Astyanax mexicanus: one gene and its partner. The protein of the gene in region 1 interacts with the protein of each later gene in a biochemical or structural test. Links are inferred from orthologs where the notes say so. Each region holds a gene or a part of one and is shown on either strand. Other genes may lie near its edges. The genes, in order: mapk10 and mapk8ip3.

Region 1 (3,928 bases):
ACTTGGGGACACATTTAAAGTTTTTGCAATTTTCCTGACTGACTGACCTTCATTTCTTTAAGTAATGATGGCCACTCGTTTTTCTTTAGTTAGCTAAATGGTTCTTGCCACAATATGAATTTTTACAGTTGTCCAATAGGGCTGTCGGATGTGTAGTAAGCTGATCACCTATACCTTTCCATAACACCTATACCTATCCATACCACCTATACCTATACATTTAAACCTTTACATACCTATACATTCATACCACCTATACATATACCTATCTATACCACCTATACCTATCTATACCACCTATACCTATACCTTTCCATAACACCTATACATATCCATACCACCTATACCTATACCTAACTAATAATCATATTTTTTGTGTTTATAATAAAATACATTGCAAAATATAATAAAATGTACATATGATTTTAAGATATCAGATTATCAGACCTAAACACAGCACAGCACCACGTAACAGTGTAGTAGTCCAAATCTACAAATGAAACCAATGGCAGTGCCCCTATTGATTGGTGAATACATATCCCTAGGCATAAAAGTGAGTGCCAGCAATCCAGGCACATGCATTCTGTGGTTCACCACACATGTGCTTTAATCTGACCTTCACTGCATTGATTTCAGCCAGGCGAACTGCAGCAGGTTCACAGTCTGCGGTGAATACACTCAGAATACATTCAGGATACACAGTGTACTCTCCCAGCTTAAGCCTGCATTCGCCTGGCGCCGCCTCAGCCTAACCAGCCTACCCGTCAGGCACAATCCCAGCAGGAACTGGCCCATTTTCAGAAAGCGCTCCGGGCTTCATATATTTGGCAACAGCAAAGTTTAATGTGCACATGATCTGCACCTTTCAATACTTATAACAATTTATCGATTCAGCATCACCATTGCAATTTGCAGAAGTGCAATGTCACATAAAGCAAATTGAACCATACATGTCATTCAGATTATGTTAGCCCAGTCTCATCTTTAATACACAAAGTTTTTTTTTATTATGTTTGTTCATCATGTTTGATCATTACTATTCCTGCTTCAAATATAGTACAAACCTGAACCTTTAAAAATCACTTAAACATAAAAGGAAAACCAGGAGTTAAGTACGTCCTAAGAGATGTGAATAAAGATTTTATATATATTTCTTCAATTATGTATATCACAACAGAATTTTCCATTATTATACAGCCCTATTATGTATAGAGACATTGTTTATTTTAGATATCAGAGGCAGTTAATATCATATCAGTTAATATCACCCAGCCTCATTTATTTTATTCTGATCTTTGATACACAGAGTGCATTGTTGCATAATATTGTAAAGGTTGTATCACTGACTTCTGGAGAAAATCTGAGATCATCCCAGCATTTTTAAATTTTTACAATTCATACTGACAAACAATTCCTATTATATACAAAGCCATGTTGATGCATTAATGAATAATCTAACATCTTTCTAAAGCTAAAGCTTAAACCTAAAAGCAATATATTTTTCATTTTAGTTTTCAACCTAAATTAAATGTACAATGTTGGATTTTGAGATCAACCTAAAATATGACACTTTGATTTCCTGATAAACTGACACATAAACAACACTGAAGGTTGACTCACTGTTGTGTTATTGATGAATATGGTGACTACCAACCAAACTTTTAATCTGTACAATGTCACAGTTGTGTCATTTTTACATAACTGATTGATATCCAACCAAAATTCAACGTCTGTACCACAATGAATGTTGATGTCAAATATTTTTTTAAGGATCTCTGACTTAATTTCCAACCACATTTAAACAGCCGCACAATGCTAGATTGTTGTCAACTCAATGTAAGGTCAGTACAACTTTAAAATGAGTGAACTCAATGCTGGAAAACGTAATGTCTGTCCAATGCTGATTTTTGACATTTATTGACTTTCATTTCCAACCAAAATTAAACACTTGAACAATGTTGGAGAGGTGTCAACTCAACATTGGTTTATGGTATTTGACTTCCTAGCAAACATTTAATGTTTGTTTAACATTTAAGCTTAATGTGAACCTAATGCTTGTTATTGATGGAAAATATAGCATGCGTCTAATGTTAGAGCTTGATGTCAACACGTTTCGTTTTGTATTTTTATTGGGTAGAAGGCATAGTGATGCAGTAAGGCCCAGTTTAATCCACACTAACAACTGAAGGGGGGGTTAGGCAGGACAGCCTGAGCAAACACTTCAGCACAGCATCATCAGCCTTCACAGCTACAGCTACCTCCTCTGCAGTCACCTTCAGTACAGCAGTGCAGCAATGGGCCTCGATGCAGGCTTCAGTTACATCTGCTACATGCGTGATAATCTGATAATATGACAATCTGTAATTCCGACTATATTGTTCAGACTGAAAATATAGTGAAATCGTGTGTTTTTTTTTTTTTGGAAGTGTGAATAAAATGGGCATGTCAGTAAATAATACATAGGCTGATACAAGTAACGTTACATCTTTACGCAGTTCTTTTCGTGTTTGCACTAAAAATAATACATTCATAAATAAAATTAATAAAAAAAAAGCCTAATGTATTTGGACCGCCGTTTAGCAACAACAGCAATAGCAGCAGCCAAAGCAAAACAACACCACCCCTCCTGGATGGATGCTCTACAGCCTCCCAGGCAGTCGATATCATCCACCCCACCCATCCATCCGTGCATCCCATCCCTATCCCCACCCTCCACCAGCGGCGTCTCTGCCTCCCCCGAGCCGAGCCACCTACCATTCCGCGCCGGCCTCACGATGCGCAGGTCCCGGTCATTCACAACATCCCGACGGGCTCCGCGGAGAGACCATGACGGTGAGGCGAGGTGGGAGGCGTGGAGGAGCAGGAGGAGGAGGAGGAGTAAAGTCGCTAAAGCCAAAATGACGGAGGGAATTATGGGCGCAAAACAAAAGAGACGACGGATAAAAACAGAAAACGAAAGACAGAGAGACAGAGAGAGGGGGATAGAAACAGAGCTAGAGAGAGAGAGAGAGAGAGAGAGAGAGAGAGGCTGGGCTTCAGCTGCTCGCTCGCTCCGCCGCTGATGCTGACGGCTGTACCATTGTGGAACGATGGAGGGGGGAGGGGGGACGAAGGGGGGCGGAGGAGGAAAGGTTAGGGGAAGAGAGGGGCGGGGCAGAGAGAGCAAGTTGCCGTGGCAACTAAAGCACGAGCGCGCGTGACGTCAAAGATAAAGACGTTATGTTATTTTTTATTTCATCCAACCGCATTCAAACCACGCCCCTTTTTAGGTTTTATTTGCTTTTTACGACATATCGTTATTATTGATCATTATAATTAAAATTAGTAATATTGGTAAACAAAAATTATAATAAAATATTATAGAAAGGAAAATGCAAGGGCATAATAAGCATTTTTGATATGGGACACATTTTGGGATCTAATATTTAATGAATTAGATGCCATTTCCTGCGTTTTGATGTATTTTTAACAGGTTGTTAGGTTGTACCAACTTGATTATTTAATTATTTCTGATAAGAATTTGAGCAGGTGACGCTCTGTGCACTAAATTAGGCTACAGAAGTATTCTGGTCCATTTCAAACCAGCACAAGAGGCAATGAATAAATATCATCAGAGTGGCCTCGTTCTTGTCAATACAATACAGTCCTGTCGAGCACAAATTAATGATAGTTTTTTATGTCATCATTAAACTTGGATGAAATGATAGCTAACATTAAGCACACACTGGACTGCCAACTAACTGTTGTGTGCAAATTCTTCTATTTTGTAAAGAATTTCCTTATGTCCATTGTGTTTCTGAGAATATCAGAACATACAAATACATGATGGAAATATACACATTTTACTATGGCTATTACTATTGTTGGAATGTAATGGAATAGGATGATGCTTTATAAGAGTGAATGTAACAATAATGTATGTAAGTAA
Region 2 (3,928 bases), on another chromosome or scaffold:
GTTAGAATTGTGGGAGAGTTGTGTTATAACACTTCATGACAGCCATAAAAGTGATCACTCATTTGTTTACCACATTTTATAACAAGTCAGATGTTTAGCACTGTAAAACTCATAATTGTTGCTGAAATGATTCCCAATGACAATTAGGATGTCAATGTAAATATGAAAGTGTTGTAACACTCAACAGCCCTAAAATCAACCACACTTCCAACAGACCTTATGTTTACTTCCTTTTAGCCTTGAAATGATTCATAAAGTCATAAATGTACCTTCATAACACTTCATAACAGATTATAGATGGCAAAAAACTGTCTGACACTGTCAAAAAGACAGTCAAAACTGTCAAAAAGACCCTATGTGGCAATACAGCTTACTGTATGTGTGTGAGGGAATGAAGGCTTACAAAAATGTGTCATAACACCTAATAACAACAAGAAAAAATTAAGCACTAATTTGTTAACCACGTTTTATAACAGCTCAGACATTTAGCGGTGTGACATTGATGGGGATAACTAGTTTAAACCTCATAATATTGCTGAAATGATTGCCAGTGTCATAACACTGACTTTATAACACTTCATATAAGATTATAAATGGCATACAATCTGAGATAACAATAGTTGTGATATATTGTGTTATAACACTTCACAACAGCAGTAAAATCAACACTTTCAACAGAAATTGTGTTTACAACTGAAATAACTTAATACTTAATTATATCCTCGATTCCTAGTTCTATAAATTTGACTTCATAATAGAATAAAGGATTATTACATTATATTGCTGAAATGATTGCCAATCTCAGAACATTGACTTTGTAATACTTATAAATGGCATTAAGCTGCCTGACAGTGTCAAAAAGGGAGGGAAATCTGAGAGAAGGTGACCCTATGTGGCAATATTTGTGCTATATTGTGTTATAACACTTCACAGCAGCATTAAAACACTATTAACAGAAGTTATGTTTACAACAACCGAAATATTGTCGGAGATAACTTAATACTTCATTATAGCCCTAAAAATGATTCCTAGTTTAAAACATTTAACTCTATAAAACTGTTATAAAACAGCCTCTGGACGCCGTGCACTATACGTCAATCACGTTTACGTCAACTAACTCTAGCTTTACGTTAATTGACGTTAATTGACTCACCTCCTCGGCCTGCTTGCGTAGCGCCTTCTCGCGCTCGTACTGCGTGATGAGCTGCTCGTTGTCCTCCTTGAGCAGCTCGAGCTCCACCTCGTGCTCCTGGTTCTCAGTGAGCACGGCGTCCAGGTTCTCCAGCACGTTGACCACCAGCGGCATGAGCTCCTTCACCACCTCCTCGTCGTAGCTCCGGATGAGTCGCTCGAACTCGCGGTAGATGCTGTTGGCCAGGCCCGAGACGCGCTCGGACATGACGGACACTGAGCCGTAGTCGTCCTGGTAGACGACCTCGTCCAGCTGGAGCTCCATCATCTCGCCTGGAGGTGCGGTGGTGGAGATTTCCACCGAAAATCACAAAAAGAAAATGCTGGCCAAAGTAATGGAGGCGCTGTGGGAGCTAACTAGCGGTTCTCTGAGTCATCCAAATAAAACAGGGGGGCTTGGTTTCAGGAGCTAGCTGGTTAGCTCACTGTGTAGTTAGCTAGAGATATTTTAAAGGGGTGTCATCAGTTGGACGTGCCCCCACGTGTCTCCAGGGGTGCCCAGCAGCCTCATTCAGACAAGCGGTAGCTGGGTTAGCTAGTTAGTTGGCTGAACGTTAGGTAGATGTGAATGTGATGATGATGGGAGAGGAGCCGAGAGCTAAGCTAGCCTCTCTCCTTTCTCCCCCCCCACTCCCTGCGCCACAGCACGGCCTTAAAATCCCGATCTTTCCCCTTCTTCACACCCAGCTAATCCTCCGTTAGGTCCGTATCGGGTGAGGCTGGACTAGTCACCGGCGCTCCCGTTCCCACTCGGCCGGAATCCATCACATCACCGCCCGCGATGCACCTGCTGCTGAGCCGCCGCAGCCCGGGAGCCCAGCCATTACTGGGCGAAAAAAATCAATGGAGGATAAAAAAAAGAAAATAAATAAATAATATGGTAATAAATAGCTTACATACACTGGATTATGCTGGAGTAGCTGCCCCCATCACCACGACGTGGCGCAATCATTTCTCCTACAACATACTGGCAAATTCAGCTTTTTTGACATTTAAATAACCAACCTAGCTAGGTTAACTACAGACCCCAGCCCGGTGGATGATGTTGCGGCGGGGGGCGGCTGCTGCTGCTGTCCTCCTCCTCCTCTCGGCTGGGTGGGTAGGGAATCTCAGAGATCGCCCAGCCAGGCTACAGTGTGGGTGCGTTTATTTCATTTCCCACCTCTATTCAGACACGCCCCGCCCTCCACAGCTACGATTGGTTAATATATTCAATCTGCTGGGATTGATTGGCCAATGGTGCAAGCTCGCAAGCAGCACCAACAGCGCTAGGATTGGTCAGCAGGTCGTGCTCTATTTGCATAACGCTCGTGAGAATCTTCGCTGAGGTCCTGTTTGAGAATCCCGAGTAACAAGAAGAGGGCGGGGCTTGTCTGAAAACAAGTGCGGAATAAAAACAAATACCGCTGCATGGAGGGGAGGAGTCACCTGACCGTTCGGGGGTTACGTCACGGCGTCTGCAGCGAGCCAGCTCGTGCGGTGGCGTCATCATCACATTGTTCCTCCCACAGCAGGGCAGGCAGAGAATGGCATCCCTTCGGGAGAGGAAAAGGGGGATATTGAGAGAAATATGATCAAAATAGCAGACAGAGAGAGAGAGAGAGAGAGAGAGAGAGAGCATGGAAACCCATCCCAGTAATTTAGAATAGTCATTTTTTACTATTTCATTATTTTGAGATCCTATTTTGTTATTTTGAGATACTGTGTTGTTATATTAAGAGGCTAAGTCATTATTTTGATATACTAAGTCATTATATTTTGATGTACCAACGTAAAGCTCTATACTGACGGGATGAGTTTCTCAGGGGGTCCTGGGGTAATTTTCTCTTTTATGGGGGAGGGGGGAATAAAATCAGGGGGTCCTCTGTGATTTTATTCCCATCCGGAAAAAACTTGTATGCGTTTTTCTAAATCAGGGTTGCCAGGTCCGACAAATGTATCCAGCCCAATGTAGGTCTAAAACCCGCCCTTCAGAAGCTTAAATTAGCCCAAAATATATATCTGTCACACGTTTGAAGCAAATGGCAAAACAACTGAGTGTACAACTTAGTATTTTGTTTATAAGGGATTTAGTATCAGTATTGCTATTTATCATGAATTCATTAATAATATTGTAACATGAGTGTTTTATTAGTTCATTTATACGTTTTATATCCCAGTCAAGAACATTTCATAGTAACAATTAGCAAAAACAAAAAAAAATGACATTTTTAAATTATTTTTGTTCTTGCCCCTCCTGAACTCTCTTCTTTCCTCTTCAATATGGTTTTCATCGCCTGGTTATTTCTGTCTCTCTTTTACACTGTCCTCCCTTATGTTCTCCTGATTCTTCCAATGACATAAGATATAAGGCAACACCAACTTTTTTTTTTTTTTGGCGGCCATGATAATTTTTAAAAGTAGCCCAAAAAAACGCACACCACCACCCCTGACAATTTTCACCTGTGACAAGCCCAGTTTGGTGGAAAAACTGCAAACCAGGCAACTCTGCTCTTACTATTTTGAAAAGTTATTTGAAGAATTTTTTGCTGCAGTTTTATTAAATCCTATTCCTTATTCTGCCAGGCTGTTGTCATGTGGTTGCCATGATGTTGCTTTGCAGTGTGCAACACTAATTAGCATAGCGTTCCCTAAATGGTTTCCGTCTACAAAATGCTAGGCCCAGTGCACTTGTCTGGATATTTTTAAAACCCTTGAAGAACATGGTGAAAGGAGGGTAATAACATGAAATACAACA

Evidence for each region.
Region 2: the proteins of mapk10 (region 1) and mapk8ip3 form a complex in vitro, tested with the Homo sapiens proteins (3 studies listed by BioGRID, with this or other methods). The link is inferred for Astyanax mexicanus from reciprocal best matches to the Homo sapiens genes MAPK10 and MAPK8IP3.

The regions. Positions count from the first base shown.
Region 1 is NC_064424.1:37,254,488-37,258,415, forward strand, and holds the start of mapk10 (mitogen-activated protein kinase 10), read right to left. Parts: upstream 2,854-3,928; 5' UTR 2,758-2,853; coding exon 2,755-2,757; intron 1-2,754. UniProt on the Homo sapiens protein: Serine/threonine-protein kinase involved in various processes such as neuronal proliferation, differentiation, migration and programmed cell death.
Region 2 is NC_064426.1:27,610,992-27,614,919, forward strand, and holds the start of mapk8ip3 (C-Jun-amino-terminal kinase-interacting protein 3), read right to left. Parts: upstream 2,326-3,928; 5' UTR 2,197-2,325; exon of another isoform or gene 2,018-2,196; 5' UTR 1,460-2,017; coding exon 1,154-1,459; intron 1-1,153.